5 linked regions of the Macaca mulatta genome follow. The protein of the gene in region 5 purifies or fractionates together with the protein of the main gene of each other region. This does not show direct contact. Links are inferred from orthologs where the notes say so. Each region holds a gene or a part of one and is shown on either strand. Other genes may lie near its edges.

Region 1 (4,733 bases), on a different chromosome or scaffold from region 5:
ATATTTTCCAGTCCTTAAAAAAATAGAATCTTCCAGTCCTTTTAGATCACTGGATGCCTTCCCATCTGAATGATTTTGCTGCTGCAACCAGGACTCCTTTTATTTACCCATTGACTCTACTTGAAAACCTACGTTGAGCTATGCTGATCATTTCACACCCACTGTCTAGAAGAAGGGCAGCCTGAGCCTAGCATTAGTGTTCCCAAAAGGTAATACTTCTGAAGGAGTAAGGTTTCCAGGTGGAATCATTCACAATTTGTTTTAAGGTGGTGTTGTGGAGTCATTATTTCTGAAAGGGATTCTATTTCTTTCTCACAGGCTTGGGCAGGAATTCAATTCCAAGTAACTGCTATGTTACAATAATTTTTAGCTATTGCAGAAAGTGAAGGAAAAAAACCTAGAGCCTTTGCTACCACCTCCTGCCCCGACCCCACTCCCAAAGGCCACTGAGCTCTGAAATTTCTGAAAACCAGTATGTACATGAAAAGGGTTAAGGAGAAAATTATTATTTATCTTGTAAGAGAGTATAGCAGAGAACCTTTTTAAATAACAGCACCAAAAATTCAACTCAGGCTGTTTAACTCATTTTATATAGACTTTGGCAGTGTTCTGTGATCTATTAAAATATTAATACACCCCCAGTTGACATTTCTGCTTTTTTTTTTTTTTTTTTCCCCCGGAGAAAAGTGGAAGTTGAGAATAGTATAAAGGAAAATGCTGCGGTAGGAAAAGACATGTACTAGGGGGGCAGAAGGCCTGGGTGACCTTGGCCAGGTCATTTCCTCACTCTGGATGGCTTCATTTTTACCCTTTTAGAAAACGGGATTGGGGTCAATGGGATTGTACTAGTGATTGCTAAATTCTCTTACAACTAGGATTCTGTTATTCTATTGTCCTGATCTGAAATCTCCCAGCCGAAGCTTAAGGAAGCCACCTATTCTCTCTGTTCTCCTATGAAGTTTGTTAATGTGAACTTGAGCAGTTGATCTGAGTGGTCTCGCCAGTCTAGCTAACGTGCAGGACCAGCTTCCTCTCAGGGATGCAGAGTGGGCTTTGTTGTGCTTTCTTCCTGGAGAAAAGCATGTTCAGTATTATATACATCAGCTAGGTGGGATTCTTAGGGACAGTGGCATGTGCTGTGTTCGAAAGTCCGAGTTGAATCTGACAAAGCTATCCCAATTTGTAACCACGTAAGTGGCTTTCATTAGCCTAAGCCACTTTTAGATATAGGAGATTTCCTATATTGGTACATCAACATTTTCCGAGTACCTCCCGTCTGCAAGACACCATCACGGTATAAACTTAAAAGTACTCATGACTCACTAATCCAGCCACATGAAAGTGATCATTCATCTGAATGAACAGTTTTCATTATTTTCTCCATGAAAAGGTCTGAATTAATTGATGCGATTTCCTGCCAGCTTACTTTTATCTTTAAGGATTTAAGGAATAAACTCAAATTCAGAAGTCTCTGCAGAACATTTGTGAAACAGCTGTTTCACTATCAACAACCCCAAGTCATTTGCCAGGCATTCAGTTTCTGTAAGGTTTTTCAATGGCTCCTCCAGCCAGCCATGGAGGATTCTTCATGTCTTAGCTGTTGCTGCCACCTTCACTTACCTCCATCCTGTATTAGAAAATCTGTAGTATCCACCTTCTTGTATGTGGTTCTACCTTGTAAGAATTTCCACATCTTTTTCCACTTTTCTTTGTGGATCAGATGTGAGATAATGCAAGAATTATAAATTGACACATAGAAACAAAGTTTTTCAGAGAGTTATTATCCTACAATAGTAGCTATTGTAAGTGTAAAAATAGAGTGTCCCAAATACCATTGCCACAGTCCCTTGTGTCCTGCTTTCCTCCTCCCCAGGACAGTGCATTCCAGCCCACTATAAGTTCGTGACTCCTACAGGTCTTCTGAAAATGTCGCATCACTCCCTGCTTCCTTGAGGGACTCTGTCTTGTCGGAAGGAAAGTCTAAGCTGTTCTCATGCCCACCGCCCAGATGCCTCACTTTTTCATTATGCTCCTACATTACATGGGCAGCCATCATCACCCAACTGACACTGTACCCTGGGCCTCCTCACTCTTTCTGTCATCCTCCATTGGAAACTCTAAAGTCTTGGCACTCCTACCCATCTGGAATGCTTCCTGTCTGCCTAAAGTCCTCCCTTTTAGTCAGGGCCCTTCACCCTGAGCATCTCTGTTGCAGGAATCTCTTCCTTTGCTGAATCTGTACCATTTACTGTTTTCACCATTCACTGGAGGCTTGGTGTATGATACGCCACAAAGTGTGATGTTAGCGTTCTCTTGGTGTTCTTCTGCACCTCAGTAGTGAGCTTCTGGGAGGCCTACATCTTGTCTTCTGTCTATCTCTCCAATGCCCTGCAATGGACGGAAGCCCCACAATTTGACAGATACCTGTTGCTGTCTCCAAGGAATTGGCCAACTCTGACTTTGATTTTTCTGTCCGTCAGGTAAGGCACCTATATATCTGTGATTTTCACAAAAATTTCATCCAGAGTGTCCGAAATAAAAGGAAGAGGAAGACAAGTGACGATGGTGGAGATTCTCCCGAGCACGACACTGACATTCCTGAGGTAAAGGTCAAAGAAATCAATTTGCGGAAGCTGGAAAAATGGATTCTAATCTGATCCTCACCTCTGGCCTGGTCTGCTTTTTGTATTAAGAAGTAATTTTAGTCCCCTTTGTTTTGCTGTGGATTATTTGAAAAGTGAATTATAGTAATACAGAATCTGAGAGCTAAAAGCTTGGATACCCACTGGTCAGACTGCCCCATCATTTTATGGACAGGCACAGAGAGCCAAGGTCAGGTATATAGTTTGGAGGCTCTAGTCTGGGGCCCTTTCCAGTAGACCACGCTGTTTTTCTGCAAGACGCCCCTGACAAATGCATAAATACAACCACAGTGTCACTTTTTAAAAAACCTTGTTTAAAACCTTTAGAGAGTGTGTAATGGTTTGGGAGAAGTCTCTTCCCCAGAAAATGAAGATGTAGGTCATCAGTTCATACCAGCTCTGATTTTCTCTCACTGGTTTCTTGACACCTAGTCCAGGCTGTTCCCAAGGATCCATTTCAAAGTTGACTAAACTGGACCTGGTTTTCTCAACTCTAGCACTGTTGACATTTGGGGTCAGATAGTTTTTGTTGTGGGGACTGTCCTCTGCATTGTAGGATATTTAACAGCATGCCGCAGCAGCATCCCCTCATGGGATTCTACCCATCACCATCCTGAGTCATGACAATCGAAAAGTGTCTCCAGACATTGCCACACCTCCTTTACAAGACAAAATCGTCCTGTGTTGAGAACCACTGCGCTAGACCATAAGACCTAGGCTTCTCAAACTGGAAGGCCGCCTTCCCTTCAGGTGCCTGTGTCTATTAAGTGAGGCTTCAGGAAGGAATATTGGATTTTCTTTCTACTAAATTGTTTTCACTCAAGACTCAGCAAAAGAAGAACCGTTTATAGTGTACATTGAATATTTGACACATGAATATTTCATAAGGCAACCGCCTGTTAGCACTCAGAGTGAAAATGACTGTGTAGGAATAGAAAGAGTAGGCGGGCCTTTGTCTGCAGATGTGGAGGAAACCGTTGAAAATCTGGCCCTTTCCCTCTGCCCCTCCCTGTGTCCCCTTTTCCAATGTTGGTTTACAGAATCTTGCTGTTGCTTTTAGCATTATTGTTATTTTATAAAGAAATGGATGTATTCGATTTCTAAGTGGTTTTCACCAAAAAAAAAAAAAAAAAAGGTTTTAAGGAATGTTTTGAAAAGAATGAAGGACTTTGGCCCCTCATATTGATCATTCATTTTGTTTTTAAGTGCTCTCCACCTGCCTGAAGCAAGAACAGCTCTTTTAGAGGCAGGTAAAGGCAGCCCAACTTTATGGGCCTTCGATTTTTCATGACTATGCAGCTTTCCTCTCTTCCTTTGTTAGAAACAAAAAGGGGGGGTCCCTTCCCCTCTGTTATCCAGTCATCTGCAAAGACCCCAACCCTAACCTGCTGGTTTGCACATTCACTACAGTAACTTTTGAACTTTCTCTGGAGGGAGGTTAAGGATTCTAACACCAGAAGGCTGGGCCTAGGAAAGGGCTATTTGAGGATAACAGTTCTTCCCACTGCCCTCCTTTGTGCCCCTTTATCTGGTCGCTGCCTCGTTCTGGCCTATCTTCCTCCAGGATGTCTCTGGTTTTTGCCTTTGCTCTCCATCTTTGGTGTCCCTTCTAACGTCACTGCCTCTCCAAAGCTCAACCTCTTTATCTCATTCTGCTTGTTGCTATAGCATCTCCCTCTGTGTTCCCCCATCAGTGTTCCCAACAGCCACCACCAGACCCATCCTGTGCCATCACCCTCTACCCTCTGTGATAGCTCCTTCTGTTTTTCTAGATGTGCTACCATCCATTCTCACCTTTTAAACCCATCACAGTTGCCTGTGACCCCCTTGCCCATCTGTGCCTCTTCCAGCTTTCTGTGCTCTGATCTTTTCTCCTGTTCCCTACCCTGTTTCTCAGTGCCTTATCAGACCCTGCTTCTCCTTAGCTTAAGCTTTACCTTCTCCACCAGTTGTGTGAGATCAGCCCACCCCAGCCAGAACTGTTTTTCCACTGTTATTTTTGCCCTCCCAACCAGTTACTAGTCCTCAATGGACCATTTCTAAGACCTCTTTTGAAGCCCTCCCCATCCTCACCCCTACCTTAGTGTAGTG
Region 2 (4,733 bases), about 78 Mb from region 5:
AGCAGGAAAAAACATCTTTTCCTTTAACCTTCACAGCAATGACTCTGGCTTGAAACACGGCCCTGAAACCAACTCAAAGGTACATTTCTCTTCCTTTTGAAAGTAAAAGAATAACTAATATAAATTACTTAATTATGTCCAGGTCTACTTTGGCTACATACTACTTAAGAAATATCTGTCAGAATCTGTTTGAGTGAAAAAAGGAAACAACAACAAAAAAGAAATAAAAGTTGTCTCCTTTGTTTACTACGTCATTTTATCTCACTTTTATTCTCAACTATAATAAAAATTTAAAATAAATTATCTAATGTTAATGATAAAACGTAACAATAATAAAGCAAATCCCCTGAATTTTGCTTCTTTAAAAGCTCTGTGGTCTCTAATTCTACAGCTTAGTAAGACAAAATTTACATTGTCACTGTATTTGTGGATGACTACATTTTAAAAGGACTGAATTGCATAAATGGCAAAAAAAGTGAGGAGACTTCTTTGAATGAGTATCTGGAGAGTTCGCTGGGCCAACAGCAATATGTTTTACCCCCACTAGCTTCTATCTAGCCCACTGAATGCTGAAGTGACCATGACTGGTGAGCAATTTCACTATCTCCTAGGTTCTATTTCAAGACAACTTTTATACACTGGCAGAATTCTCCTCTTCTTGGAATAAAGCAGATAAACAGCCGGCAACTTAGGGAGCATTAGGATACAATTAATATCTCAGTAAGCAAATGTTTTCCCTAGTTGCTGGCTATGTGCTATTTACACTTCAAAGGCAGGAAAAGAAGAAATTTTTTTCTATCATAAAGCACTAGCATGCAAGTTCCAAGATGGCACTTCCATCTCCTCAGATCTACACAGTGGCTGGCACATAGCAGGTGTTTTTGTTTTTGTTTTTTTTTTTGAGACAGAAGCTCACTGTGTCGCCAGGCTGGAGTGCAGTGGTGTGATCTCAGCTCACTGCAACCTCTACCTCCCAGGTTCAAGCGATTCTCCAGCCTCAGCCTCATGAGTAGCTGGGACTACAGGCGCACGCCACCATGCCCAGCTAATTTTTGTATTTTTAGTAGAGATGGGGTTTCACCATGTGGCCAGGATGGTCTTGATCTCTTGACCTCGTGATCCGCCCGCCTCGGCCTCCCAAAGTGCTGGGATTACAGGCGTGAGCCACCGCGCCCGGCCTAGCAGGTGCTTTTAAAATATCTGTAGGTAAATGAATGAAAACAACTGCTATAAAACTTGGGTCTGTATGCCTTTTTCCCAGAAGTACCATTTTTATTTATTTATTCAATTTTTTGAGATGGAGTCTCGCTCTATCACCTAGGCTAGAGTGCAGTGGTGTGATCTTGGCTCGCTACAACCTCTGCCTCCTGGTTTCAAGTGATCCTCCTGCCTCAGCCTCCTGAGTAGCTGGGACTACAGGTGAGAAATGCCATTTTTAGAAGCCTGGCTTATATATGTGGATAAGTGATAAGGATATTTTTACAAGCAAATGTATTACAGCACTTTTAAAAATAGTAAAAAATTGGGAGAAAATTTAGGAGAGTGTAAATTTATGGTTCATCTATACTAGACAGCACATTGCAGATATTTTATGTAGGACGAGGAAGGTTTTTAGGTAATGACAAGAAAGTATGTCCACAATACATACAATAAAATATTATTCACCTTTAAAAAGGAAGGAAATTCTGACACGTGCTACAACATAATGTCTTGCAGATATTATGCTGAGTGAATAAGCCAGTACAAAAAAACAAACACTGTATGATTTCACTTATATAAAGATACCTAGAATATCAAATTCATAGGTACAGAAAGTAAAATTGTGGTTGCTAGGGGTTGGGGGAAGAATGAGGAGTTACTGTTTAATGGGTACAGAATTTCAGTTTTGCAAGGTAAAAATGTTCTGGAACTGGATGGTGGTGACGCTTATGCAACAGTGAGAATGTACTTAATGCCAATGAAATGTACACTTGAAAAGAGTTAAGGTGGCAAATTTTATGTTATATGTACTTACCACAATTTTAAAAAAAAATAATAAAAGAAAAGAAAACCAATTTGGAAACTTCATGACATTCACTAAAAGATTCCATTTACTACATGAAAGAATGAACAGTTTTAACAACTGGTTTCTGGACTATAAGACAAAGAAATTTCACATTCTTTTTCATTAAATATGATTCCACCAAAAAATAAGACATATTATACTAGTTAAACTTCTTTGACGGTGCGGTAAATTCCTTTCTCTTTCTAAAACTTGGTAAATCCTACTATGTAAACATTACTGGACACTGATCCAAATGCTAGATGACAATTCCTAAACAGACTTTATATATTAAAGGAAAGAAGGAGCAGAGTTGGAAGATACAACCAGCGTACATGTACACATCACTAGAGCCACACAGTGTGCTATAAAGTTACAGAGAAAGACAAGATACCATCTAGTTCAGGGCACAGGCACTATAAAGAGGTGATTCATTTATTCAACATCTATTTAATAAGCCTTTATTACGTGCCAGGCACTATTCTAAATGCCTGGGATCTGTCAATAAACGAAATAAACACTAATCCCTGACCTCGTGGAGTGTAATTCTTGTGTAGAGTGGCGCAAAATAGATAATCACAATAAACAGAATAAGTAAATTACAAATAGGAGCAACATTACAGGGACTGAGAGTTCTAAAGAGAGGAGGCAGGTTACAATTTCAGATAAGGTGACCGAGATAGCCTTCAATGAGGTGATACTTTAGCAAAAGACTTGGAAAAGGAATATCTGAGATTCATCCCAGATGAGAATGACTTGATCGAACATAAACAGAAAACAGAAGGAAGGGTTTTCAGGTAGAGAAAATAATATACAATATATTTAGAAAAAAGTAGTTAGCTAAGCAGCATTAAATACTGGAAAATAAGCTAAGTTCACTGTAGTACTTTTGTGTATATATGAAAATGGCTATAATAAAAAATTTTAAGTAATACTTAAACCAGATAAAACTAGTATTAAGAACTCACTCTCGGAGATTTTAATTCTATCTCTTCTCTTTCACTTTCACTGTTTGAATCAATATTTTCCTCAGGTTCACTCTTCACTTCTGTTAAAGGCATTTCTTGATCTAATTTGAGAGCCTCTTCCATTGATTCTTCTAAGTCTTTTTTTTCCTCTTTTACTTTTGGTTCATGGTGATGAATAGTTCTGAACTGAATATTTGCCGAACGGCAGTACTCCTCAAAACCATACAGATACCTAAACAAACAATATTTCATTTAAGAAATCTTACAGTCTTTGCATTTAACTTGAATTCACATGTTATTAAACACATTTTTAAAAAGTAAAGCCCAGTAATTTAAAAAAAAATTTTGTGTTGCTATTTTCTGTGTTACTATTTTCTTGGTGTTTTAGGTGGAATTATAAACAGAAAAACTGATCATAAAATGCTGTCCTGAGGCGTCTCAGCTTGTGATAACTAAACATAACTATCGTAAGTTTTGATATGAAGGCTGTTCACCCCAAAAGATGTAGCTCTATAATATGTATCATAATCGCAGACACTGTCTGCGTCTTGCTTTTGGAAAGGAAATCAGGACAACATAAGAAATGGAGTAAATAAGATTTGATGCAATGAAATAACTTTCAATCACAAGTATCTGTCAACCTAAACCTTTTTATACACTTTCTCTAACTTTAATGTTCCTAGATTGATGTATTCTTGTTAACAAAGTAAATGGAAAATATTTCCTATAAATATATATTCTTTGATGAATAAACTATACTACTTACTTTCTATAAGCAGTTTTTACATTGTAGGAAGCAGCTGAATTCAAAATAGGAATGCCAAGGTCCATATAAATTTGCTTCCATACAGCACCACTATCAATCTGGAAAATTAAGTTTTTATGTTAACATTTGCAAAGGGAATTAATCTTTTTTTTTTTTTTTTTTGAGACAGGGTCTCACTCTGTTGCCCAGGCTGGAGTGAAGTGGCGCAATCAGGGCTCACTGCAGCCTCGACTTCCTGGGCTCAAGTGATCCTCCCACCTCAGCTTCCCGAGTAGTTGGGACCACAGGCATGCGACACCACACCTGGCTAATTTTTGTTGAGATAGGGTTTCGCCATGTTGCCCAGGCTGGTCTCGAACTCCTGAGCTCAAGCAATCCACCCCGCCTCAGCCTCCCAAAATGCTGGGATTACAGGTGTGAGCCACCATGCCTGGCCAGGAAATAATCTTTACCCTAATATTCTATGTTCATTAAGGAAATGTATTTATTATCCAATGTGCATATAATGCAATATAAGATAATTTACCTTTTTATGACACCAATACATGTTTCAAATAGCAATGTTATACTTACATTGTCACATCCACCCTGATGATAAACCAGTCTGAAGAGTTTGAAGAGATTGAGATCTTTATAGCCCAAAACAGGTGGTTTGTTGATTGGAGTACCTTTTCAATGTAAGTAGGTAGAAATAAAATGTTTATTCAAATGAGAAATACTAATTTGAAAACAAAGCTGTCAACTTCTAATTTCCCAAATTTCATTAATTAGAGGCACATATTTAAAGAGCCTTAAACAATGTAAGACAACATAAGATATGCTCTCCATTATTTATATAGCCTTTGTGGGGAACTTCAGATTTTAGGTGTTATACTTCTAAAACTAATAAAGCCACCTCTTTAACTGTGAATGAATTGAGTAAAACTAAACACTACATGGTGTGGCCAACAATGTTGCT
Region 3 (5,069 bases), on a different chromosome or scaffold from region 5:
TCATATTTTAACATCTATGATAAATAAGTTGGATAAATTGGTATTACTTGGATACGTTGAACACAGCTATTTATTTTTATAATTAGTGACTATATGAGACTAGGGCATTCCTCCTGGTGGCAGGCAGCCTGCATTGTTCTTCTAGGAAATGTCTTCAGAGCTGTCTTTAGTTTGAGAATATACTCTGGAAAATAATACCATTTAGAGAAGCTTCAGCGTTGGCCCAACTTCTTATGTTTACTCTAGTGTTAGGTATATATCTTATAACTATTTGGAGATAAGATCTGGAAAGGGAGGGGGTACCATTTTAGACAATCCCTCCCACTCCCAGCCCCTCCCCATACCCTTCCTAGTTTACAAGTAGTATTGTTGGCCTGGCACGGTGGCTCACTCCTGTAATCCCAGCACTTTCCGAAGCTGAGGCAGGCGGATCACGAGGTCGAGAGTTGGGAGACCAGCCTGACCAACATGGAGAAAACCCTGTCTACTGAAAATACTGGGCGTGGTGTTGCATGCCTGTAATCCCAGCTACTCGGGAGGCTGAGGCAGGAGAATCGCTTGAACCTGGGAGGCCAAGGTTGCAGTGAGCCGAGATCGCGCCATTGCACTCCAGCCTGGGCAACAAGAGCAAAACTCCGTCTCAACAAAAAAAGTAGTATTGTTGCCTTGTTTAAAGAGACTGCAAAAAGGTTTTAGGAGAATAATCTGGTACTGTTTAATTTAATGGTTATTGTTTGAGGAAAAAGAGCTCTGGAATTTCTTTGTGAGTAGCCTTTTGGCAAGACTGTTTACTGCCCTTATTTCAACTAGATTTTTTTTTTTTTTTTTTTTTTTTTTTTTTTTTTTTTTGAGACGGAGTCTCGCTCTGTCGCCCAGGCTGGAGTGCAGTGGCGCGATCTTGGCTCACTGCAAGCTCCGCCTCCCGGGTTCCCGCCATTCTCCTGCCTCAGCCTCCCGAGTAGCTGGGACTACAGGCGCCGCCACCACGCCCGGCTAATTTTTTTTGTATTTTTAGTGGAGACGGGGTTTCATTGTGTTAGCCAGGATGGTCTCGATCTCCTGACCTCGTGATCCGCCCGTCTCGGCCTCCCAAAGTGCTGGGATTACAGGCTTGAGCCACCGCGCCCGGCCTCAACTAGATTTTTTTAACAGCTTTTGTTTCTTGAGAAATTGCCTAATTACACTTTAAAATCATATGCACTGTCCTCTAACATGCCCAAGAAGTTTTATATTTAAATACTGAAGAGGTTTTCTTTTCTTTTTGATGGCATTTTAAAGTCCATTGACTTTAATAGATGTGAAGATGTTTTTGTTTAAGCAGTAGATGCAAAAGTAAAATCTACCAGCTTTGTTTTAAAGCAAGGCTAGTACATTCACTGCAGTTAAAAAATAATAATAATGACCCATTACAGTTGTGCTCCTGTAGTCCTAGCTACTCAGGAGGCTGAGGTGGGAGGGTCACTTGAGCCTGGGAGGTCGAGGCTGCAGTGAGCCGAGATTGCACCACTGCACTCCAGCCTGGGCGACAGAGACAGACCTTGCCCCTAAAATAATAATAACAACAGTCATAATAATAATAAAGCAAAGCTAGGTTTTTCTGGATTATTGTGGCAGAACTGTTCTTGCTTTCACTAATACAGAGGAATAACATGCTAGAATAAATGTGGGGACTGAAACTGAGGACCTAACACAAAGTAGCCTGGACCTTTGCTGTTAACCCGGTTCTTTAAATCATAGAGAGCTATTATATAAATTTATACACGTTCTCTAATTTAACAGGATATTCTAGATGTTGGTATGTTAAAATAGAGACCTTTTTTATTTGAAATATTCAAATAATTTATATTTTATCGTTTGTATATTGTGTATAATGTAATAAATACCATGTTTATATATAACGTTATATGTATATTAATAATTGCATTCAAATAGAAACATTTGAGTAAAAATGATGGCAGTATAGGACATAATCATTAATAGAAAGTATTAATACAGGTTGGGTCCCGAGCACTGCACTTCATTTAAATGTTTCCTCTTAATGGCTTCGGGCATTGTCACCCGTGCGTAGGAACTGTTCTGTGGTTCTCTCTGGGATGGCTGGAGCGGCTCCTCTTCCTGTGGGAGCTCTTCTGGCATTTGCATTTAGTTCCAGGGCACAGGAACAGAGAGGCCCTGGAGGGCCTGTGGCTGGTGGGCTGGGCAAGCCGTGCGCTGGCCCCTGGGCCCCCTGCCAGCCCTCTCCGTAGACCCGGGTCCGGGGCCGTGTGGGTTGTCCCGATGTCCTGCTCGCGAGTGATGCCTGTCCTTCTTGCCCCCAGAGATCTTGAAGGAGCTGGACGAGTACTACGAGCGCTTTAGCCGCGAGACGGACGGGGCGCAGAAGCGGCGGATGCTGCACTGTGTACAGCGCGCGCTGATCCGCAGCCAGGAGCTGGGCGATGAGAAGATCCAGATCGTGAGCCAGATGGTGGAGCTGGTGGAGAACCGCACGCGGCAAGTGGACAGCCACGTGGAGCTGTTCGAGGCGCAGCAGGAGCTGGGCGACACAGCGGGCAACAGCGGCAAGGCTGGCGCGGACAGGCCCAAAGGCGAGGCGGCAGCGCAGGCTGAGAAGCCCAACAGTAAGCGCTCGCGAAGGCAGCGCAACAACGAGAACCGCGAGAACGCGTCCAGCAACCACGACCACGAGGACAGCGCCTCGGGCACACCCAAGGAGAAGAAGGCCAAGACCTCCAAGAAGAAGAAGCGCTCCAAGGCCAAGGCGGAGCGGGAGGCGTCCCCTGCCGACCTCCCCATCGACCCCAACGAACCCACGTATTGTCTGTGCAACCAGGTCTCCTACGGGGAGATGATCGGCTGTGACAACGACGAGTGTCCCATCGAGTGGTTCCACTTCTCGTGCGTGGGGCTCAATCATAAACCCAAGGGCAAGTGGTACTGTCCCAAGTGCCGGGGGGAGAACGAGAAGACCATGGACAAAGCCCTGGAGAAATCCAAAAAAGAGAGGGCTTACAACAGGTAGTTTGTGGACAGGCGCCTGGTAGTGAGGAGGACAAAATAAACCGTGTATTTATTACATTGCCGCCTTTGTTGAGGTGCAGGGAGTGTAAAATGTATATTTTTAAAGAATGTTAGAAAAGGAACCATTCCTTTCATAGGGATGGCAGTGATTCTGTTTGCCTTTTGTTTTCATTGGTACACGTGTAACAAGAAAGTGGTCTGTGGATCAGCATTTTAGAAACTACAAATATAGGTTTGATTAAACACTTAAGTCTCAGACTGATTTCTTGTGGGAGGAGGGGGACTAAACTCAACCTAACACATTAAATGTGGAAGGAAAATACTTCATTTAGCTTTTTTTTAATAAAAGTAATATTACTTTATGAACAAATTTTTTTAATTGGCCGGTCGCCAAAAATACAGCCTATAGTAAATGTGGTTCTTGCTGCCATGATGTATATCCATATAACAATTCAGTAACAAAGGTTTCAAGTTTGAAGATTATTTTTTAAAAAGGTAAATGGTTAAATTTTACATGATAGATATTTTATATTTTGGCCTGTTCCCCAAATGGCCATTTTAAAATGCTTGGGTACACTTCTCTTAAACAAGCGGTCTAGTCAAGGAACCTCAAGTCATGCTTTTGCTATCACGAATCATAGTGTAGCCATCTTTAATTTATATCAGGTGTATAAATGTACATTTCCAAGTGAACTTGCACTTGCTATATTATGATTGGAAGTGCAGTCAGCAGATGCTGTTGTGAAGCTAATGTCACAATTATGTGCAAAGGTGTGCTTCCTGCTGTATGTGAGCTGTAAAAATGTTACGTGAAGAAATAAATGAAACTTGGCCAGTTTGTTCCTCTAGTAGTATATTTAATTTTGACATAAGTAACTTTTAAAATTTGTCTTAAAAATTTATACACCAGCAGTTTAGACGAAGCCTTAAGTAAATTTTGTATTATTGTTCTCACTTATTAATAATGAAGTTACCTAATTGCCAGCAAATAAATATGTGTCAAAACAGAATCTGTATTCAGACCCTGGGTCAGGAAATTACTGCCCACTTGTCAAGTCCAGTCCACCACTTGTTTGAACATTATATGGAGTTTAAATTCTAGTGTCCATAAATAAAGTTTCGGTGGAACAGAGCTGTGCTTATGTGCGTATGTATTGTCTGTGGATGCTTTTGCAAAATGGCAGAGTTCATTAGTTGCAACTGAGACCTTTTGAGTTGACAAGCCAAAACTATTTTCAGGCCCTCTGCAGAAAGAGTTTGCTGACCTCTGATTTAAACTGGCATCTAACATTGATCTGCCCACATATTGAAAGGGTCAGTGGAGTTTTCATTTGTTTTTTATTTTTTTGAGACGGAGTTTCGCTCTTGTTCCAGGCTGGAGTGCAATAGCGCGATCTTCGCTCACTGCAACCTCCGCCTCCCAGGTTCAAGTGATTGTCCTGCCTCAGCCTCCTGAGTAGCTGGGACTACAGGCACCTGCCGCTACGCCCGGCTAATTTTGTATTTTTAGTAGAGAACACAGTTTCTCCATGGTGGTCATGGCTGGTCTCGAACTCCCGACCTCAGGTGATCCACTCACCTCGGCCTTCCAAAGTGCTGAGATTACAGGTGTGAGCCACCACGCCTGGCCGGAGTTTTAATTTCTTTCTTTTTTTTTTTTTGAGATAGAGTCTCGCCCTGTCTCCAACCTGGAGTGCAATGGCGTGATATTGGCTCTCTGCAACCTCCGCCTCTCGGGCTCAAGCGATTCTCCTGCCTCAGTCTCCTGAGTAGCTGGGACTACAGGTGCGTGCCACCATGCCCAGCTAATTTTTGTATTTTTAGTAGAGATGGGGTTTCACCATGTTGGCCAGTATGGTCTCGATCTCTTGACCGTGATCCACACGCCTCGGCCTCCCAAAGTGCTGGGATGACAGGCGTGAGCCACCACACCCTAAGTGACGCATGGTTCACTTTAACTTCGTACGTGGTAAAATCAGTTTCTTTCCATGATCTGTTTCACAGTCTCTGTGAAGCTGCCATGAAGAAGCAATGAGTGATGACATTAT
Region 4 (4,733 bases), on a different chromosome or scaffold from region 5:
TCTTTTTTTTAATTTTTTTTTGAGACGGAGTCTCACTCTGTTACCCAGGCTGGAGTGCAGTGGCGCAGTCTTGGCTCACTGCAACCTCCCATCTCCTGGGTTCAAGCGATTCTCCTGCCTCATCTTCCCGAGTAGCTAAGATTATAGGTGTGTACCACCACGCCTAGCTCATTTTTTTGTATTTTTAGTAGAGACGGGGTTTCACCATGTTGGTCAGACTGGTCTGGAACTTCTGACCTCAAATGATCCGCCCGTCTTGGCTTTCCAAAGTACTAGGATTACAGGCGTGAGCTGCCGTGCCCAGACCGCCACCACCTTTTTTTTTTTTTTTTTTTTTGAGACGGAGTCTCACTGTGTCATCCAAGCTGGAGTGCAGTGGCACAATCATGGCTTGACTCACTGCAGCCTTGACCTCCCAGGGTTAAGTGATCCTCCTCTCTCTGCCTCCAGCGTAGCTGGGATTACGGGTGCGTGCCTCCATGCCCATTTAATTTTTATATTTTTTACAGAGATGGAGTCTTACTGTGTTACGAAGGCTGGTCTTGAACTCCTGGGTTCAAAGGATCTGCTTGCCTTGGCCTCTCAAAATGCTAGGATTGCAGATGCGAGCCACTGCACCAGCCATACATTTTTTGTTTTGTTTTTTATTGGAGACAGTCTTCCTCTCTCGCCCAGGCTAGAGTGCAGTGATGCAATCTTGGCTCACTGCAACCTCTGCGTTTTGGGCTCAGGCGATCCTCCCACCTTAGCCTCCCAAGTAGCTGGGATTACAAAAAAAGATGTTTTTTTGTGTTTTTTTTTGTTTTTTATATTTTTGTATTTTTAGTAGAGTTAGGGTTTTGCCATGTTGGCCAGCACAGCGTAAAATATCTTTTTAATGTCAGGCTTTTATAACTTTTTAAGAAGATGTTTTAAATGAAATTGTCTTATACTCTGTATTGTACTTTTAACTATTTCAGCTCATTTTAGATGATTTTCAGGTAGTTTATTCATAAGGCTACAATATCCAGAATGAATTCTACATTCCACAGTTGTGGCTCTTCTGTCTGATGTCCATCAGGAGAATCCAGTGCCCAAATTGACCCTGTTAAGAAAACATCACAAGGAAGTGGCCACTTGGTCAATCCTGAGATTTAACTTCAGGTGCCGCTCTTGTTTGTGCCGCTATCTTACATTGGGAGACTGTGACATACTGTCTCACGTTTAATGTCTTTACTAGTCAATGATGAATCTGGTCGAGATTCTGAAGTCGGTGCCAGGGAGCACATGAGTTCCAGCAGCTCCCTCCAGTCCCGGGAGGAGAAGCAAGAGCCTGTCGTGGTAAGGCCCTATCCACAGGTGCAGATGTTGTCTACACACCATGCTGTCGCATCAGCCACACCTGTTGCAGTGACAGCCCCGCCAGCACACCTGACGCCAGCAGTGCCACTTTCATTTTCGGAGGGACTTATGAAGGTAATGGAGAGGGTTAAAACTTCACACTGAACCAGAGCTCAAGACTGGCTCATCTCTATAACAATTTGTACAAAATCTTAGGCTGTATGGCCGGGCGCGGTGGCTCAAGCCTGTAATCCCAGCACTTTGGGAGGCCGAGACGGGCGGATCACGAAGATCGAGACCATCCTGGCTAACACGGTGAAACCCCGTCTCTACTAAAAAATACAAAAAACTAGCCGGGCGAGGTGGCGGGCGCCTGTAGTGCCAGCTACTCGGGAGGCTGAGGCAGGAGAATGGCGTAAACCCGGGAGGCGGAGCTTGCAGTGAGCTGAGATCCGGCCACTGCATTCCAGCCTGGGCGACAGAGAGAGACTCCGTCTCCAAAAAAAAAAAAAAAAAAAAAAAAAAATCTTAGGCTGTATCTTAGGATCGTATTTCATTTTTCCTTTATGACCTATGAGTTCAGCACCTCTGTAACTCAGCCCTGATTTTCTGCAGTGCCTCGTCTTGTGCTGCTGGGCCATTGGCATCACAGAATCTTTGCTGTTATCCATTTTGATACTGATATTATTCAACCTATGGGCATGTTAAGTTAGATAAGGGACCCTCTTTTTTTTTTTTTTAAGCCAATCAGATTTTAGCAGTGGGGGCTTAATGACACTAATTTTTTTTTTTTTTTTTTCTTTTTGAGACAGAGTCTTTCTCTGTCATCCAGGCTGGAGTGCAGTGGTGCAATCTTGGCTCACTGCAACCTCCACCTCCAAGGTTCAAGCAGTTCTCCCGCCTCAGCCTCCCAAGTAGCTGGGATTACAGGCACACGCCACCACGCCTGGCTAATTTTTGCATTTTTAGTAGAGACGGGGTGTCACCATGTTGGCCAGGCTGGTCTCAAACTCCTGGCCTCAAGTGATCTGCCCGCCTTAGCTTCCCAGAGTGCTGGGATTACAGGTGTGAGCCACCACACCCGGCTGACAGTGATGTTGTAAGTTCTGATAACCCAGTATCATGGGACCAACTGGAGTAGCACTCTTCCTTAAGGTCTGTTTTAGCAACTGGTTAATTTGGGGGTTTCTGAGAATACCGCCTGTGCGTTACCTGGGGGTTCTGTTTCAGTTACTGGGAGTTTTGTTCAATCCACCCAGACTTGGGAGGCGGCATCATGTAGAAGAAAGGGTGTGGGCTGTGAGCCATACAGCTCTGGGCTTTGTTCCCAGTTCTTCTTACTGTGTGTGTGGCTTTGAGCAAGTCAGTTAGCCTTGCTTTGTATGTTTCTTTATCTGTGAAATAGAAATGCTAGTACTTCAGTGGAAACACTGTGATGCTAATAGATAAAATGTATAAAGCTTATGGCATCTTTCCTGGCACTCTCCAGGTTCGATTTGTGTACTCTTAATTCTGGATTGAGACGCATCACCAGTATGAGGCCATTGATATGTTTTGTGTGGTTTTCTGTTTGCAGCCGCCCCCGAAGCCTACCATGCCTAGCCGTCCCATTGCTCCTGCTCCACCTTCCACCCTGTCACTTCCGCCCAAGGTTCCAGGGCAGGTTACCGTTACCATGGAGAGTAGCATCCCTCAAGCTTCAGCCATTCCTGTGGCAACAATCAGTGGACAACAGGTTTTTCTTCCTTTTAATTTGCTGATTTTCAACTGAAATGCCAAACTATTGATCATGATTTATTGAATGCTAGCAGTACATTAGGCATGGTAATAAAAAAAGATTAAACACTCACTCATAACCTGCAAGGGAAGGTAGTAGGTTTGAGAGAGAAGGATAACTGTAGGGAGTAGAAGCCAGTATCCATAGTGGTCATTTAGCTAGAATTTATTGAGCAGCTACTAGCTGCTCGATTTGACCCTCAGTGTGATGTATAAATCTGGATAAAACAGTCCGTGTCCTTGAGTCCGGAGTGTGGTTTGTGTTTGATTTTAGCGTCAAGAACAGCCTCCCAGGGGTAGTGGTGGGCAGTGCTTCTCTGTGGTTTCTCTGAGGAGAGCAGATGGGCATCTTTGGGGTACTGGTAGGTAACCTCAAGCAGCTCTCTAGTTGCAAACTTTTTTTTTTTTTTTTGGGACAAAGTCTTACGCTGTCACCCAGGCTGGAATGCAGTGGTGGGATCTTGGCTCACTGCAACCTCCACGTCCCGTGTTCGAGCAATTCTCTTGTCTCAGCCTCCCAAGTGGCTGGGATTACAAGCGTGCGTCACCACGCCTGGCTAGTTTTTTTATTTTAATAGAGACGGGGTTTCACCATGTTGGCCAGGCTGCTCTCCAACTCCTGACCTCAAATGATCCGCCCGCTGTGGCCTCCCAAAGTGCTAGGGTTACAGGCATGAGCCACTGCACCTGGCCTTAGTTGCCAACATTTATTTTGAAGTCTTCTGTTTTAAGGCTTTTTTTGTGAAATTTTGCAATCCTATTCTGCTGTGTACTTGATTAATTAAATATTTAAAATTTTTTACCTGGGGAAAAAAAATAAATCTAAAAACGTTCCCTTCACGTTTTCAAGAAAAATTTATATTCCAAAGAGGTGTACTGTGTTTTTTCCTTTTGTCATACTGCTGAGTACTCTCAGAAGTACCAGAACCCTTAGCTGAGAAGCACTGTTCTCTGTGGTTTGGGAGAATGTGAGTAAGGGACATTTCAGGATTGAGCTGAAGAACTGGTAGCGGAGCACCTGTTGGATGCTAACTGACATTTACTTAGAAACACAAAGCTTAAAGAATGGATGGATGCAGTGGTATGTAAAGGAAATTGTGAGAATGGGAAAAAATAAGCATTTGGCCAGGACAGAAAAAACAAGTGTGAAAGGTAATATCACAGATGAGAGTTTCTAAAAGTAGATATCAAAGTATGTTATCTGTTGAAAGTATGTTATCTGTTATTATTTGGGCCTGCAGCAGTTGTGGGGTCCTCATACTTCTCACATGCCTGTTAGCACAGTTCATTATACAGTACAGCATGTAAAAGTAGCTCAAGCTAAATGTCCTTAGCCCTTTCCCTTGGGATACTCACTATCTAAAAGAAAAAACCTGACCCACATTTGGAGGCAGGTGACTTCCTAGAGGCAATGGCTAAGACCAAACCTGTGAAAATAACGTTCTATCCTCTTTCTCTCAGGGCCATCCCAGTAACCTGCACCACATCATGACTACAAACGTGCAGATGTCTATCATCCGCAGCAATGCTCCTGGGCCCCCTCTTCACATTGGAGCTTCTCATTTACCTCGAGGTAACGACTTGCAAGTTTTGTTCAAACTCTCAAAATGCCGTAGCAGATATACATTTGTTAAAAT
Region 5 (4,733 bases):
CCAGCCTGGGCTACAGAGCGAGATCTGTCTCAAAAAAAAAAAACCAAGCATTTCTTTGTTACTTATGTTTAGTAAGGTTAGCTGATGAGTTAGCAGAGCTTGGCATCTGTTTTTGACAGAATGTTCCTATCCCCTCTCAACTGGTATGCTTCCAAATGAGAGGCAACTTCATTTCCCATTTATGACTACAAGGGCAAAGATGAAAGAAGTGGGGTAAGCATGTGTTTAAGATTTGGTGGGATGAGCGAGTTTGAAGGAACATGTTTACCAATTAAGATAGGTTAGTAATGCTTCAGTACAGACAGCTCCCACATCTGAGTGACTTGTAAAGCCAATGGGTTTAATTTCTAATCATTCTACATGTACATTGATGTTTAGCAGGGGATTTGGCATATCAGAATCACTTGGGGATTCAGGCCAAGGGATTGCCACCATTATGATTGTTGCTAGTCACTAGGAGGAAAAGAGATCTCAGAAGGATCTCACACCTTTAAATGCTCCAGCCTAGAAGTGATAAACATTACTTCTTCTCAACTCATAACAACTCATTTGTCAGAACTAGTTACATGACCCTATCCAATCATAAGGGAGTCAGGAAGTTAGTCCATTTTTTGTCGGTAATTGGAGAGCAAGAGGGGCCAGAAGTATTGACAAAATGATGACCACATTTCCAAAACAAGAAAATTTAGGGAACACTTCTGCAAACATTTGGTTGTAGACTGTTCATTTAGGAGTCCAATAAGAATTTAAATCATTACCCGCAGATACAACAGTGAACTCCTTAGGGTATGATAGTCACTGCTCTTATTATTACTGGATGTGGAACAAGGCTATTGAGTATTTTAGTATTTGAATATATTTAAATATTTCAAGTTAAAAAAAAAACTCTCAAGACAGAGCCGTCTTTTGGTATTGTTTTGATTGTTATTGTTTGTTCATAACGGATCTTAGCAATTCAGGAAAGTTCAGGGAAAAGTATCAGTAAAGTCATCTCTTGTTAGGTTCCTCCGGTCTAAGATCAGTAGTCTTAAGCAAAGCACACGGTGCAGGTGGTGGTGGTGATAACTACCGTTTATCCAGCTTCATCCTGTGGTTCTTATGTGCCAGGTATTGTGCTGAATACTTTATGTGGATTGTATAATTTAATCCAGAAATAGGCTTGTGAGAGTAATAGGTGCTGTTATCCCTATTTTGCTGATAAAGAAACAGTCTTATGTAGCTAGTAGGGCAGAACCAGGATTCAAATCCAAGGAGTTTGACTCCCTACCTTATTTTTCTAATCACTACTCTATTCTATTCTGATTTGGGTCCTGAGCATACCCTTCTTTGTCTTCCTCTTCAGCTTGATGTAGTTTTAGAGACCAATCTGGCAACAATCCGGGTTCTGGAAGCAATACAGAAGAAGCTTTCCCGCTTGTCTGCTGAGGAACAAGCCAAATTTCGCTTGGACAACACCCTTGGGGGCACATCAGAAGTCATCCATAGAAAAGCACTCCAGAGGATATATGCTGATAAAGCAGCTGACATCATTGATGGTCTGAGAAAGAATCCCTCCATTGCTGTTCCGATTGTCCTTAAAAGGTACCTGAGCAAATGTGCCCTTAGTGCTTTAGTGTGTACTTCATTACTGGTTCAGTGTCCCATTAAATAAGTCTCTCATTTTCAACCTGGTTGTCCCATGAGACCTCTCTTTCTCCCCAACCCTGGGGGAGTATTTTAAAATACAGAAAAGAAGATAATTACCACCCATGTTCCTGCCACGCTCAGGACTAACTGTTGTTAACATCTTTGTGGTTTTTTTGTTTGTTTGTTTGTTTGAGACAAGATCTCTCTCTTTCACCCAGGCTGGAGTGCAGTAGTAAGAACACAGCTTACTGCAGCCGCAACTTCCCAGGCTCAGGTGATCCTCCCACCTCAGCCTCCTGAATAGCTGGGACTACAGGAGTACACCACCACACCCAGCTAATTTTTATTTTATTTTTTTTTAATAGAGATAAGGTCTTGCTATGTTTCCCAGGCTGGCCTCTAACTCCTGGGCTCAAGCAGTCCTCCTGCCTTGGCCTCCTCAAAGTGCTAGCATTACAGGCACCAGCCACACCATGCCCAGCCCCATGTCATTATTGACCACACTGTAAATCCTTTGTTAGGAGCTTGGTTCTCTCAGTATCATCTGGTAAAAACTAATTCTTAGTTGCTGCACAGTTCACAAATACCCAGATTTTATTTGTCCTCCCTCATCTTCCCCTCAAGAGCTGGCACAGATTGATGGTTTCTTCTTCTTGCCTGTAGTATTTAACTTCTGGCTTTTGAAATATAGGTTATTCTTCAGTTTTAGTGCTGTTTTTTTGTCTTAGCCTGTTCTCTTCTGGTTTATTAGAATCAGTTCTGATCAGAACTTTCCAGACTGTATCCAGAGGAACATAACTGTGCAAGTTCTCTGCTCTTGGACTTCTGTGTTTCTATTAGCATTGTGAACATTTTACAAAGTCCTACAGCAGAGAAACAAGAACTCTTTTTGCAAGGAATACTTACATCTCAAAGGTATTCCCTGGAATGCTGTTTGATAAGTAACCATTCTAGGTAAATTATTTGACTTTGAGATAACTCATTTCCCCAAAATAAGTCTTAGATAAGTAATTTCCTCATGAAACAGAGTTCAAGACTGGTTTGATAACATCCCAAGTTGCCAATAATTTTGACAGACCTAATATAGCTTTGACTTTTCTTGAAAGAAAGTAAACCTGGCAAATTTCTTTCTTCTAAACCCTCTGAATTCCCATATGTTGTTTCCATCCCTTCCCACTTCACTAGGTTGAAGATGAAAGAGGAAGAATGGCGAGAAGCTCAGCGAGGCTTTAACAAAGTATGGCGAGAACAAAATGAGAAATACTACTTGAAGTCTCTGGACCACCAGGGGATCAACTTTAAACAGAATGACACAAAGGTCCTGAGGTCTAAGAGCTTACTCAATGAGATTGAGAGTATCTATGATGAGGTGAGCTGGGGTTTTCTACATCTGTGAGAGGACTCTAGTCTATGTTTAGCACAGCTTTGATTTCTGGAAATTACCTTTGTTAAATGCAGGTGAGACTCTCTAAGACCTGTTGATTCCTGCTTTATAGCTGTCATAGCCTTTTCTATTCCTCATTCTACTATTTTAAATCTAAACTTTACCTTTATACCTAAGCTGTTTGACTAGTTCCCTAGTTTACTATCCTGGTTTCAACTTATACCTCCTGCCTCCATTTTCCACTTCTCCCACTGCCTGTTTCCCTCAAACAATACCTTGTATTCATATAGTCCCATCTCTCCTTACTATAGCTTCAAAACTTGTCATTGACCACCAAACTCTTTGTAATCCTTGCTTATTCAGCATGCCTACTAGAACTATAAATAGTACTAGGAGCTAGGATCAGAGATGAATAAGCAATCAATTCTGGTTTCCATGGGCTCAGTTTTAGCAGATGGATAGAAACATAAATGCAGTGCAATTGGGAATTCCTGGAGTGGGGTGATCCTGAATTTTAAAAATAGTAAAATGAGCTCTTAGGTGAACTCAATCAGGCCGGGGACAGTGGCTCACACCTGTAATCACAGCACTTTGGGAGGCCGTGGCGGGCGGATCACCTGAGGTCAGGAGTTAAGAGACCAGCCCTGCCAACATGATGAAACCCCGTCTCTACTAAAAATACAAAAATTAGCCGGGCATGGTGGTTGCACCTGTAGTCCCAGCTACTTGGTAGACTGAGGTGGGAGAATGTCTTGAACCCGGGAGGCAGAGGATGCAGTGAGCTGAGAGCATGCCACTGCACTGTAGTCTGGGTGACAGAGCAAGACTCTGTCTCAAAATCAATAAAATAAATAAACTTAATCCTCCATATTTTGCTGATGTTACTTTGTCACCCTCCGTACCCCCACCCCAGAAGTAAATTACAGACCTCATATCATATCCTCTATATAAATACTAGTCCAGAATTTTGAAAGATAGTCCCACGGGGCACAGTGGCTTCCGCCTATAATCCCATCACTTTGGGAGGCTGAGGTGGGCAGATCACTTGAGGCCAGGAGTTCGAAACCAGCCTGGGGACATGGTGAAACCTCATCTCTAACAAAAATACAAAAATTAGCCTGGCATGGTGGCACACTTCTGTAATCCCAGCTACGCAGGAGGCTGAAGCATGAGAATGGCTTGAACCCGAGAGATGGAGGTTATAGTGAACCAGGATTGTTCCACTGCACTCCAGCCTAAGTGACAGAGCGAGACCCTGTCAAAAAAAAAAAAAAGAAAAAGAAAGATGGCTCCAGTTCTGTCCCACTCGCCCTGTAAGTCATTGATGTATAGAAGGTACCTGTATTTTGACATCAAACCACATCTCCGTCATTACCTATTTGTTTCTGGAAGAGGGACAAAATTATTGTTACGGTTTGGCCCTAAGTTTTGTTTTTGTTTTTTGTTTGGAGACAGAGTCTCACTCTGTTGCCCAGGCTGGAGTGCAGCAGTACGATCTCGGCTCACTGCAACTTTTGCCTCATGAGTTCAAGTGATTCTCCTGCCTTAGCATCCCGAAGGCTGGGATTACAGGCACCCACCACCATGTTCAGCTAATTTTGTTATTTTTAGTAGAGATGGGGTTTCACCATGTTGGCCAGGCTAATCTCAAACTCCTGACCTCAAGTGATCGCCCTCCTCGGCCTACCAAAGTGCTGGGATTATAGGTGTAAGCCACCGCTCC

Evidence for each region.
Region 1: the proteins of SIN3A (region 5) and SAP30L purify together in Homo sapiens (affinity purification with western blotting; 4 studies listed by BioGRID and IntAct, with this or other methods). This does not show direct contact. The link is inferred for Macaca mulatta from reciprocal best matches to the Homo sapiens genes SIN3A and SAP30L.
Region 2: the proteins of SIN3A (region 5) and ARID4A purify together in Homo sapiens (affinity purification with western blotting; 6 studies listed by BioGRID and IntAct, with this or other methods). This does not show direct contact. The link is inferred for Macaca mulatta from reciprocal best matches to the Homo sapiens genes SIN3A and ARID4A.
Region 3: the proteins of SIN3A (region 5) and ING1 purify together in Homo sapiens (affinity purification with western blotting; 5 studies listed by BioGRID and IntAct, with this or other methods). This does not show direct contact. The link is inferred for Macaca mulatta from reciprocal best matches to the Homo sapiens genes SIN3A and ING1.
Region 4: the proteins of SIN3A (region 5) and SAP130 purify together in Homo sapiens (affinity purification with mass spectrometry; 4 studies listed by BioGRID, with this or other methods). This does not show direct contact. The link is inferred for Macaca mulatta from reciprocal best matches to the Homo sapiens genes SIN3A and SAP130.

Annotation. Positions count from the first base shown.
Region 1 is NC_133411.1:163,319,310-163,324,042, forward strand, and holds part of SAP30L (histone deacetylase complex subunit SAP30L), read left to right. Parts: intron 1-2,480; coding exon 2,481-2,603; intron 2,604-4,733.
Region 2 is NC_133412.1:131,471,859-131,476,591, reverse strand, and holds part of ARID4A (AT-rich interactive domain-containing protein 4A), read right to left. Parts: intron 4,444-4,733; coding exon 4,349-4,443; intron 3,874-4,348; coding exon 3,776-3,873; intron 3,242-3,775; coding exon 3,010-3,241; intron 1-3,009.
Region 3 is NC_133422.1:105,129,212-105,134,280, forward strand, and holds the end of ING1 (inhibitor of growth protein 1), read left to right. Parts: intron 1-2,318; coding exon 2,319-3,022; 3' UTR 3,023-4,153; downstream 4,154-5,069. UniProt on the Homo sapiens protein: Cooperates with p53/TP53 in the negative regulatory pathway of cell growth by modulating p53-dependent transcriptional activation. Implicated as a tumor suppressor gene.
Region 4 is NC_133417.1:9,257,898-9,262,630, forward strand, and holds part of SAP130 (histone deacetylase complex subunit SAP130), read left to right. Parts: intron 1-1,219; coding exon 1,220-1,455; intron 1,456-2,896; coding exon 2,897-3,055; intron 3,056-4,557; coding exon 4,558-4,669; intron 4,670-4,733. UniProt on the Homo sapiens protein: Acts as a transcriptional repressor. May function in the assembly and/or enzymatic activity of the mSin3A corepressor complex or in mediating interactions between the complex and other regulatory complexes.
Region 5 is NC_133412.1:53,435,658-53,440,390, reverse strand, and holds part of SIN3A (paired amphipathic helix protein Sin3a), read left to right. Parts: intron 1-1,342; coding exon 1,343-1,581; intron 1,582-2,811; coding exon 2,812-2,995; intron 2,996-4,733. UniProt on the Homo sapiens protein: Acts as a transcriptional repressor. Corepressor for REST. Interacts with MXI1 to repress MYC responsive genes and antagonize MYC oncogenic activities. Also interacts with MXD1-MAX heterodimers to repress transcription by tethering SIN3A to DNA.